3 linked regions of the Nothobranchius furzeri genome follow. The protein of the gene in region 2 binds, or shares a complex with, the protein of the main gene of each other region. Links are inferred from orthologs where the notes say so. Each region holds a gene or a part of one and is shown on either strand. Other genes may lie near its edges.

The links. The genes of interacting proteins can lie anywhere in the genome.
Region 1: the proteins of egln1a (region 2) and epas1b are in contact, whole or in part, in a crystal structure (PDB 7Q5X), measured with the Homo sapiens proteins. The link is inferred for Nothobranchius furzeri from reciprocal best matches to the Homo sapiens genes EGLN1 and EPAS1. Residues at the interface, in NP_071334.1 of Homo sapiens: Gln239, Leu240, Val241, Ser242, Lys244, Ile251, Arg252, Trp258, Asp277, Ile280, Arg281, Ile292, Asn293, Gly294, Arg295, Thr296, Lys297, Tyr310, Val311, Arg312, His313, Val314, Asp315, Pro317, Asn318, Asp320, Arg322, Arg370, Trp389, Tyr390; in NP_001421.2 of Homo sapiens: Asp525, Leu526, Glu527, Thr528, Leu529, Ala530, Pro531, Tyr532, Ile533, Pro534, Met535, Asp536, Gly537, Glu538, Asp539, Phe540, Gln541, Leu542.
Region 3: the proteins of egln1a (region 2) and hif1aa are in contact, whole or in part, in a crystal structure (PDB 3HQR), measured with the Homo sapiens proteins. The link is inferred for Nothobranchius furzeri from reciprocal best matches to the Homo sapiens genes EGLN1 and HIF1A. Residues at the interface, in NP_071334.1 of Homo sapiens: Gln239, Leu240, Val241, Ser242, Gln243, Lys244, Ile251, Arg252, Trp258, Lys262, Asp277, Ile280, Arg281, Ile292, Asn293, Gly294, Arg295, Thr296, Lys297, Tyr310, Val311, Arg312, His313, Val314, Asp315, Pro317, Asn318, Asp320, Arg322, Arg370; in NP_001521.1 of Homo sapiens: Leu559, Glu560, Met561, Leu562, Ala563, Pro564, Tyr565, Ile566, Pro567, Met568, Asp570, Asp571, Phe572, Gln573, Leu574.

The regions. Positions count from the first base shown.
Region 1 is NC_091752.1:43,855,479-43,858,978, forward strand, and holds part of epas1b (endothelial PAS domain-containing protein 1b), read left to right. Parts: coding exon 1-111; intron 112-193; coding exon 194-402; intron 403-506; coding exon 507-727; intron 728-938; coding exon 939-1,049; intron 1,050-2,822; coding exon 2,823-3,322; intron 3,323-3,413; coding exon 3,414-3,500.
Region 2 is NC_091752.1:2,296,032-2,300,304, reverse strand, and holds the start of egln1a (egl nine homolog 1), read left to right. Parts: upstream 1-1,473; 5' UTR 1,474-1,920; coding exon 1,921-2,625; intron 2,626-4,273. UniProt on the Homo sapiens protein: Cellular oxygen sensor that catalyzes, under normoxic conditions, the post-translational formation of 4-hydroxyproline in hypoxia-inducible factor (HIF) alpha proteins.
Region 3 is NC_091758.1:31,049,934-31,053,433, reverse strand, and holds part of hif1aa (hypoxia inducible factor 1 subunit alpha a), read left to right. Parts: intron 1-1,731; coding exon 1,732-1,922; intron 1,923-2,209; coding exon 2,210-2,361; intron 2,362-2,485; coding exon 2,486-2,570; intron 2,571-3,100; coding exon 3,101-3,210; intron 3,211-3,334; coding exon 3,335-3,500.

The sequences.
Region 1 (3,500 bases), about 42 Mb from region 2:
CATGCTGGCAAAGAGCGGGGGTTATGTCTGGGTGGAGACTCAGGGAACCGTCATTTACAACAGCCGAAACTCTCAGCCGCAGTGTGTCATGTGCATCAACTATGTCCTCAGGTGAGTGCTGCTCAGCCAAGATCAAAAGACAAACGTTTTCCCTATGTTTCATCCACCTTGTCATGTTTCCACCGTCCCTTAGTGACGTGGAGGAGAAGTCTGTGATTTTCTCCTTGGAGCAGATGGAGGCACTGTTCAAGCCTCAACACATGAGCAGCTTCTTCACTCCAGAGGGAGTGGGCATGAATGGAGAGCCAGGAGATTCCCTCTTCACCTCAATGAAAGAGGAGCCCGAGGACCTGGCTCAGCTGGCTCCAACACCTGGAGACACTATCATCTCCCTGGACTTCGGTCAGTTTGACCTCTGACTTCTTCTCTGCCTGTTTAACGGAATTTCGTGTTTACAAATGTGCGTTAAAGATTGAATTAAAAATATTTTCACTTATTTCTCTCAGGTCGCCCTCAGTTTGAGGAGTCCCAACAGCCAGCTGCGTACACCCCGGTTTCGTCTTCATCCATGCCTCCTCCGGGACCGTCATCCTGGCCGAGCGAGAGCCACAAACCTGCTCGAGCCCAAACTCCGTCAGGAGATGTGGCTAACAAGGCCGGTCCTTTCACCATGCAGCAGAACCGTCCTCCGGGCAGCGCCACTCCAAGCCTTAGCAGTTGCTCCACGGTGAGGATGTCTCACCATTAATTAGTCAGCTTCTGGTCGATTGTGTTTGCTCTCTCTGTGTTCAGCGAGGTCAGCGAAAGTGGGCAGAGTGTGTGAGAATATCGGGGGTGGAGGATTGGATGGAGCAGGCCGTTAGCTCTGAATGGTGTCTTTGTGTCGTTCTGTCTTTCCTCTCACATTTAGACCTTTTGTCTCCGATGTTGTCTTGCAGCCCAGCAGCCCAGGTGATTACTACGGCCCAGTGGAGAGCGATCTGAGGATAGAGCTCACTGAGAAGCTCTTTGCTCTGGACACAGAGGGGAACAACTCAGCAAGCACTGAGGTGGGACACAGTACTTACTCACACCTTCACATGTATGCAGACCATGTTCCTTTAATCTACCAGAGAATTATAAGATGATTTAATTCTTGTTGTGTTATGTTAGAAAATTGTGATGTGTGAGTTGTAAAATGAGTCTGGCTGAATGTTTAATGAGGTTTAACAAGTTATCAAATTAGTAATAAAACCATCCTGATGCCAGGTGAGAGACTACGATTACCCTTGTGATGAAAGTTCTTGGTAGGTCCAGCTGGCTAGGAAGTCTAGTCGGCTTGCTGCCAGGAGGAGTTGACTTCTGGAATGTTAAAGGTTGCAGCTACCTAACCCTAACCCTGTCCTTCCAGTGAGCTTTGCAGATGTGGGAAAATGTCATCAGGCAGTAATCATTGTTAAATTCATAATTATTCTCGGAGAGAGACCAACTCTTATCTGCCCCTGGGAGCCCCGTAATGCATAGCGTCATTTCAACATGGGGGTGTCCGCGGCACGGTTTATATGCAGGTAGCGGTGCTGCGGCTGCTTTATATAGCGACTCGTTGCATTCTCCCTCAACCCAAATCCTCGGATCACGCATTTCAGCTAAAACGCTAACGTTAGCTTGCCTTGCGTTGACTGTAGAGTTGTGGGTGATGGTCACGCAGATGTGTCATGAGATTTGAAGCGTTGCTGCCTTTCACAGACACTTTTTCTGCACGTGCTGCAAACAGGATGGCCGTCTTCTATCAACTGTCCCTCGGCATTCTTCAAATATCTAAAAGATGCCCGTACTTCCCACTTTGTCTTCTTTGAGGGATAAAAATGTCCTCCTGAGCGCTGCCGTCTCCTCCTTTGGCCATTATTTCAGCTTTAGCTTCAAGAAAGTTTTGGTTGTAAACAACAAAGTGCGCGTGTGCCGCCGGCAACTTCAGCAGATGATACGGTGGCTGGTAAGGGTCACCGCGCCTACACAGCAGCCACGGTAACCCACCGAGATAATATAGTTTTTAAAAAACAAGACGGTTATTATTGTCAACTTTTTTACCGGGGTTTACCGCTACACCAGTTACCGTGACAACCTAATCTACGTTACAGCATCAAAAACAAAAAATGGTTTCCGGTCTAAGCCCTGGGCAGCTGGTGATGTCTCACAAGGAGTTTTGCTCAAATAGCGAGTGTAAACAACCCCCGACTCTGATGTTTCTGCTTTAGCCTTGTAGCTCGATGTGTCATCGGTCAGATGTAGCTTCTGAAGCCTCTGCTAGACGGTCAGATTTGTTTTTTTCTCTGGGATACAGCGACGAGAACAGATATCTGGTTACTGTAGAAGATCTACCGAACTCTGACACCGCTAGCTGGATGGCTGGAGGAGCTGACATGTTTGAGACAGTTTGACTCAGAAGACATGCGACCCGATTTGGACACCGGAGAGGATTCTGTTTGTCTTCAGAATCAAAATCAGTACAGCTTGTTAACGTTTACTGAATATTTAATTTCTGTGCTTGTAGTGCTCCTACCAGGAGCTCTCAGCTAGTCTCTGCTCTATCATACTGTCCCAAATTAATTCAGTAATAATAAATGGATGTACAGTACGTTTAGTTTTATATTTGCAGACTAGTCAGGTTTTCACATATATACTCCATTTGTGGTCTTCCTATGTGTGCTGACTGGACTGGCTCATTTTATCATTTATAGTTTAACATAATGCTGTCGTTGCTCACTGACACAGATGTCAAACACATTTCATGTAAAAATGAGAACAATATTCACCACCGATCTGTCCTGGTTCCTCTCCTCCAGGCGGACTTGAGCGACTTGGACCTGGAGACTTTGGCTCCTTACATCCCCATGGATGGCGAGGACTTCCAGCTGACTCCCATCATTCCAGAACTCGAGCCCCTGAAGGTGGCTCAGGCCGGCTCTGTGGGCAACATCAGCAACCTGAACATGCAGCAGAGCTTCAGTAACATCACCAGCCTCTTCCAGCCGCTGACCTCCCCTTCCCAGCCTCAAAATCACTTCCTCCCACAGCCAAAGGTGTCTTGGGCCACTGGGGAGAGGAGAGGCTCTGGCCAGGGGGTTGTGGACACCAGATCCAGGTCCTACATGATGAAACACTTGCAGAATCTCCCGAATCTGGCCCCAGCCAGCACGCCTCTATCTTCGATGCAATGGCCTCCGGACCCGTTAATAACTTACCGACACGAACGGCCTCCTAAAGCCTACCCAATGGATAGTTTGTCTGAAGAGGAACGTCCATCCTGCCAGCAGAACGTCCCACATCTAATGCAAAAGCAGAGGTGATGATATAAAACAGCAGTAAATATTCATTAAAATATCTTAATAGAAATGTTTACTTGTGTTGTATAATTTATTATTGTATTTTTCTAGGTCTATTGACGATTTTATCCAGGCTTACAAAGATGTGAGTCCTGCCAGAGTGGCCATGGCCAACAGCATCAAGCGCTCCTTCAACCA
Region 2 (4,273 bases):
TCCATGTAAGGCCCTATAGACCAGAACCAGGATCTTGAAATGAACCCTGAAGTTGACTGGCAGCCAGTGAAGCTGGAGGAGAAACGGGGTGATGTGGGTGTGTTTGGAGGACTTGGTCAGAAGCCGAGCACAGGCGTTCTGAACCACCTGTAGACGGTTCAGGGAGGTTCTGCTCAGACACGTGAAAAGAGAGTTACAGTAGTCTAAGCTGGGGCAGCAGTAGCTCAGGTGGTAGAGCGGGTTGCCTCATGATCGGAGGGTCATGGGCTCGATTCCAGCTCTCGCCAGGGGTATCCTGCTGTTGTGTCCTTGGGCAAGACACTTCACCCAACTTGCCTGTGTTAGTGGTGGTCAGAGGGGCCGACGGCGCCAAATGTCAGGCCTCCCCAGGGCGGCTGTGGCTACAAGTAGCTTACCATCACTAGCAGTGTGTGAAAGCGTCTTTGGGTGTCTAGAAAAGCGCTATATAAGTTCAATGCATTATTATTATTATTATTATTATTATTATTAAGCGTGAGGAGAACAGTCTCAAGATCAGATCAGGACAGAATGGGCTTAGCAATGTTTCTGAGATGGAAGAAGGAAGAGCGAACAAGAGAACTGACATGAGAAACCACGGTGAGAGCTGGGTCAAAGGTCACACCAAGATTCCTGACCAGGTTTGGTGTGAGAAGCAAGCTCACCAAGAGCATCACTGAAGAAGTTTATCTGGGCACAGAGGTATGATCTCGGTCTTGTCTTCATTCACCTCTAGAAAGTTCCCAGTCATACATTTTTTCATTGAGTCTAACAAAGTCTAACTAACAAAGCATGCAGCAGCTGCTGCTTCCATATGGAGATGTACAGTTGAATGTCATCTGCGAAAAGATGGCAGCAGATTCCTTTAAAAGAGCTCAGGATGTGGATGTGAGCCTTGTGGGACACCATGGGCAAAGGAGGTGGAGGAGGGCTGAAACCTGGAAACGGCCACAGAAATAGAAATTATGAGATAGTATCTCACAATAGCATCTCATAATTATAAGATCTGTTTTTTTTAAACAGAGTAGCAGGAATGGGCTTATTTTTGCTCATTTTAAATATATTTTTAAACATTTTCTAAATGCTTTTTTATATTTTTACATTTTTTTATTTTTTGTTTTTGTGAAGCGCCTCGTGATTTTTATCTTGAGAGGCGCTATAGAAATGATACTTTCTTCTTCTTCTTCCAAACGTGCTTTCTCTGTACTTTGAAGCGTTTCATGTTCAGTCTGTTGGTCATCTGTGTATACATGGAGATACGATGTCTGGGGTTCTCCAGTGTTTCAGAAATCCACCCTTCTTCATGAGGAATAAATTGTTATATTTCAAGTAATGTTTCCGAATCCAAGGGTAGGAAGCTTGTGAGTACACATCGAGGCCGGTTACGTCATAGCAAAGAGACGAATGCTGTCCGAAAAGGAATGATACTTATATATTTTAATAGTTCACTTCAGCAGTGAACCAAAATGTGTCAAATACCCTCCACGTGTCCCGGCCCTGGTGTGTATTTCATTTGACCCACAACTCCTGAAGGCAACGCGGGGGCGGGGTTTGAGCTCTGACGTCAACGAGAGCCACGGACAAACAGCACGCACACAGAGCGGCGCCATGCAGTAGACCGATCCCGACAGCTAGCCTGTCGAAATGCCTCCCGAAGCCCTCGAGCCGACCCGCGGCTGAATGCTTGTCCACGGGCGCACACTGTGGCGTTACTTCACCGTTCGAACATGCGGAACCGGGACAAGACCGACAAAATGGCGAGCGTTTGAGTTTAGTTCGACCGTTTCGCTCGGCGTAGCGAGACAGAGGCAGTGGCTCTTTCCCCAAAGTAAGTAGACGGTTAGCAGGGCGCGTGTGAAGGATCGAAATTAAAGGAGCAGTACAACCGCTGCAGCTCTCGTAATGGAAAAGCAGCAGAGCGATTTGGACCGAGACCGACAGTATTGTGAACTTTGTGGGGAGATGGAGAACCTCCTTAAGTGTGGAAGGTGCCGAAGCTCCTTCTACTGTAGCAAGGAGCACCAGAAACAGGACTGGAAGAAGCACAAGCTCATTTGTAAGGTGGCGGACAAGTCCCTGATTTCCAAACAGATACCCGGACACACTCCTCCGTCGGGAGAGGACGGGGGACCGGATAAAACCAGCACGGAGAATGTCCCCGATCAGTCGAACTCCCCGTCTTCACCACCAGCCCCAGACACAGAAGCACCTGCAGCCGGGTATCGAGCGGGAGAGGTGGGATCTAACGGCCCCGCCACACCTAACGGACAAACCAGCCTGTCCCCTCAGAGACTCGCCGTGGAGATCATAGTACCGTGCATGAACAAGCACGGCATCTGCGTCGTGAACGACTTTTTAGGAGAAAAGACCGGGCTGAGCGTTCTGGAGAATGTCAAGGCCTTGTACAAAAAGGGTAAATTCACAGATGGACAGCTGGTCAGTCAAAAGAGCGACTCTCCTAAAGACATCAGGGGGGACAAAATCACGTGGATAGAGGGGGGAGAGGACGGCTGCGAGAAGATCAAGTTCCTCATGGGTCGCATGGACGACCTAATCAGACATTGTAATGGCAAACTGGGGAACTACACTATAAATGGAAGGACAAAGGTAAGTATTGCAGCATGTCCAGGTAGAAGACTGTCAATCAGAAGTGTTGTCCCTCAGAGAAACTCCTATTGTTCAGTAATACATCAGTCACTACATAAAACCTACTTTAAGTCAGCAAATGCATATGAGTGGAGGTAAGCTGCCTCCAGGGGAAAGCATGGCTAATGCCCCGAGTCAGGTGGATTATTCCACCCAGCACATGGATGCAAAACACAGAAATGCCTCCCACCAACAGAAATAAGCTGCTGAAGGCCAACCATGACCACTGTGATTCCCCACTGTGCAGCTTTAAGCAATCTAAATTAAACTTTTTAAAATGACTCAATCTAAAAAGTGTTTTGGCAGAATAAAACAAGATGTACGAGGCAAGTAAGCTTGCTAGCATAAAGTCAGATCAAAGTGTGCACGTTCTTAAATATCAGAGTAAAACTAATCCAAATGGCAACAGCTTTGCATGAAAGGCGCTATTAAAAAAAGAACTCAACTGTACTGAATGTTAAGTTTTCCCACCGAGGGACAAGTAAGACGCAATTAATGAACTCCTGATTGGATTAAAGCAGCATGCAAGGTTTGCATGCACACAGCACATTTTTATATCATGGATCATTCAAAAGAAAGCCAAATTTTCTTATTGCATTAAACATAATTACAATTACAACTTAAATTATGGCTGTGCAATTTGTCAGATCGGTGTTTTCATTCCAACAGTCACAAAAACAATGTAATGAAGGAAATCAATGATTATTTTTGTCTCTTCCGTCCCTTACAAAGCCTAAACTCATGCATCTTGTCAAGTTTTAAAAAGTTGTCCCAAGAAGGTAATTAAACTATGTCTGCATGAATATGTAGTTAATGTCTCACAAATATAGCTTTCTTTGGTCTCTTTCCTCAGAAGGCCGGGTTTTTACAGTCATCCTGTTGCTTTCTGCAAAAATCAGGATGTTACTGAAATATTTCTAAATGGGTATGACATCTATGGCAGTCTGTCTTGCTGTTAGGCCAATAATGATTTTTATTTCACGATTTTACTATGGTGGAGCGGTTTATGGCACAGTAAGGAGGTTGTAGGTTCGAATCCCCTTCTGTGCTGAGTTAGAATGTTCTTGGTTTTGTTCAACTCATTAAGTACATAATTGTGATCTCAATATTGACCAAAACAGCCGTGATTTTTTTTTTATATAATCGAGCATCCCTGTCATCGGCCATGATGTACATAACTGTGTATTTGTTTTAATTCACTTCTTTTTCTTGTGTCCGTCACAAAGAAACTTATTTAAGCAGCATTTACGATCAATGCAAATGGCTACAATTTTATTTTTGCACAACCACTGTGACTGTTAAAAGAGCTGTTTAGTAAAATATTTGCATATCACAGCATGATGGGCATGTTTTCAGTAGACAAGAAGAAGTAGCCTAGAAAATTCCACCAGATCATCAGTTTCAAATATTCGCTGATCCATTCATGCAAATGTAGTAGATTTTTATGTCTCTAGGACAGTAGCACAAGTGACTATGCTGAACGTTGATCCATTTGGAAAACAGCCCCCTGAAGTCGGATAGACATGTGGATCATTAACAGGGACCCAGAGTGACGCAGCACTGGCCAGGTGGCTGGCTGAATACTTCAGTTCACTAACAACACACGCGT
Region 3 (3,500 bases), on a different chromosome or scaffold from region 2:
ATAACTTTGTAGCTTCCCAATTGTAAATGGAACTTAATAGCAGCAACACTGAGTGTTTTTCTGTTTGTGTGTTCATGTCACCGAATAGAAATTTTGACCCACATGCTTTTCGCTAGATTAAATCAGCACCTAGCCTATTTCCCGAGGGACGGTGATTCGGCTCAGCATTGAAAATCTTCCAGCCGCAGAGGACCAATTAGCTTTATCGTGGATCGGTTTGTGCATCACGTGTGTGTAATGGAAAGCTTTCGTGTGAAACACAGCCTGCCTGTTAACTAAAATTAGCCTCCTGCAAATTACATTATCTGGTCTATTTTCTGGCAAAAACAAAAGGGCCTTATTCAGTGCTGTAAGTGCGTGCCAGATCAATTTCAATCAGGTGTGCATTTCATAGCTGTGGGTTTTTAAGCTGTTCATTTGGTCGTCTGGCTGCTCACATGTCATCTAAATGTATTTCAACTTACTGAGGTGCAGTTTGCAACAAAGATTGGTGATATAAATTTATGGCATATGAATGGGAGATGAAATCTGTTTTTTGAGGCATCGCGGTTTTTCTAAATCGATTTTGTTTATGTTTATTTACCGCAATGTTGAGCAACATAAGGTGGAACAGGAAGTACAGCACAGACTTTAAAAAAATTTTTTTATAAGCACATAATGGAGGCACAATTTGCAGTGGCGTGTCCAGGCCTTTTAAAATGGGTGGCTCCAGTGGGGCACTAATTTATGCATGGGTGGCACCTATAGTTATACTTTTTGTTTTGATCTGCGGGGTTGTCACCCCTCACAAAATAATACATTTTTGCATTATTCTTCAACTTCTTGTTTTGAGGTGGTTAGCAAGCCACTTCTTGGTGCATTACCGCCATCTACTGGAGTGAGTTTGGACCAGGACTATGAATACTATTTTTGTCAATATGAAAACAATAATTAATAATACACAAATGTTCTGTAGGCCTGTGACTAGAAACTAATGTTAAAAGTCCATACTGTCGACTACTGTTTTAGGGGTTAACCCTTATTTTTTTGTGGACAACTTAATGTCAATTTAAGTGGAACTCATTGGGGTGGCCAGTCAGATTCCAAGAGTGGCAAATGCTGCTCCAGACCACTCACTGGACACGCCATTGACAATGAGCAATAAAAAGAGTGAACAAGTGAACATTTTAAACATGGCCGCCGAGCGAGACCAGTGTTGTGTCAAAAGGCCTTCCTTCTCCAAATATCGTCTGTTTTTCTTTTGTTTTTGATTCTGAATCAAGACAACAGCAAACATCATTCAAAATAATATTAAACCCACAACCATTTTTTGAATGAAAGCGGCCATTTGATGCACCCCTTCTTGTTCTTACCTTGAATCTAACAATTTTGTCTCATTAAGTTTTTATAGTGTAGTGATTTCAGTCACTTGAAGAATCAATAGCCCTGCTTTGATTCAGCGGTGGTCACATTAGCCGAAATGGCACTGTAAAATGTCTGAATCAGTGTGTGGGATGGGGGTGGGGGGATGGCTGAGCTCTGACTCTTTCCTGTGTAGTCATTTGAGTGGGCGAGTCCTATTTCGTTTGTTCAGCAGCCAATAGGACGCTTGCATTGCACTGGCTGGGCTGAGACAGCCTGTTGAATGCTCCAGCTGCGCTGGCCTCTGCAGACATGTTTCAGTTTTGGGAAAAGGGATTTTTACGTTTAACAAACCCAGCATGAGGCTGATCCACCTCCTGTCTCCTGCAGGGTGAGCTCGGAGCGCAGGAAGGAGAAATCAAGGGATGCAGCAAGATGCCGCCGTGGGAAGGAGTCGGAGGTGTTCTATGAGCTGGCCAAGCAGCTGCCTCTCCCCCACAGCACCAGCTCAAGCCTGGACAAGGCCTCCATCATGAGGCTGACCATCAGCTACCTGCGCATGAGGAACCTTCTCTGCAGTGGTCAGCATCTGTAGCGACAGATGATTATAAACCATTCCACTGCTCTGTTAACCATGTACCTGCAGTATGCTTGTCATATTTGTTATCTTGTTGACTTCAGAGTAATTCACTTCATTTACATGTAGCCTATAGTGGAAAACACAAAGGAGGTACTGCGTATTCTGCCATAATCTCTCTGCAGAAACACCTGGGGCTAGAGGAGTGGTTTTTCTGTGTCTGCAGCTGTTTGAACCGGTTATTTGTCCTTTAGCTTATCACCCACCTTGCTCCCTCTCTCAATGCTCCAGATAAGCCAATGGAAGAGGGGGAAACTGAGCTTGATGTTCAGCTGAACGGGTCCTACCTGAAGGCGTTGGAGGGCTTCCTCATGGTGCTGTCTGAAGACGGCGATATGATTTATCTCTCGGAGAATGTCAGCAAGTGTCTTGGGCTGGCGCAGGTGGGTCTGAAGCAGGGAATTAAAAAATAAGTGCACATTTTTAAGCTTTAAATGAATACTTCTTGGTAGCTCTATTTATATATTTGTGTTTTAAAAGTATATTTCTGTTTGTTTGCCTTTGCAGTTTGACCTGACTGGCCACAGTGTGTTTGACTTCACACATCCCTGCGACCAGGAGGAGCTGAGAGAGATGCTCCTCTGTAGAACAGGTGAGCAGTGTTGCACTGAAGAGTACAAATGTGTAGAGAAACCGAGACGCGCACACACAGAGCTCTCTGTCGGGTGTGTTGGTGCTCCAGATGGTAGAAAGTCCAACTCACTCTGTGGTCAGCTCTGCTTAGTAACGACACAAAAATCCACTCCGGTTTTGAGCAGTGGCTGAGTAATCTTCCGACCTTTTAATCATCAATAACAGATCTTTGCTTTGCTTCTCGTTAGTGAGATAAGTTTTGCTGAATCTTCTCTCTGCTTCGGTTCACTCTTACATTTAGGACCTGTGTTTTTTGTTATTTCTTTGCTCACTGATACCGCCTCGGCTCTAACTGCTGGTAGCTATTTCCATTTTATCCTCTAGCTCACCACAAGGCCACAGCATCAGAGCAAATGTCTCCTTTTGATGCAAATTTTATCAGTTGGCAGTTTGTAGATTGTTGAGTTGGGACCAATAAAAAAGAGCAATCTACTGCTGGCTTACTCTGCCTCACTCTGGATTCATATCTGTTTAATTTTGTGATTCCAGGCTCCAAAAAAAGCAAGGAACCAAATAATGAACGGAATTTCTTTCTGAGGATGAAATGCACCCTCACAAGCAGAGGTCGCACGGTTAATGTCAAGTCGGCTACATGGAAGGTAAAGAAGTGTTGAAGCTGTGGAGCATCTCGGGCTCCTAAATTAAAAAAGTTACTTAAAGTAAAAAATAATAATTACAGAAAGATTAAAGTTTCCCTCTTGGTTTGAAAACGTGTTTCTGTAGGTCCTTCACTGCTCGGGTCACATGTGTGTTCATGACCATCGAGCAGAGCAGATGGAGCCACTGCTCCCCTACCTGGTTCTGATCTGTGACCCCATCCCCCACCCTTCCAACATCGAGGTCCCTCTGGACACCAAGACGTTCCTCAGCCGCCACACCATGGACATGA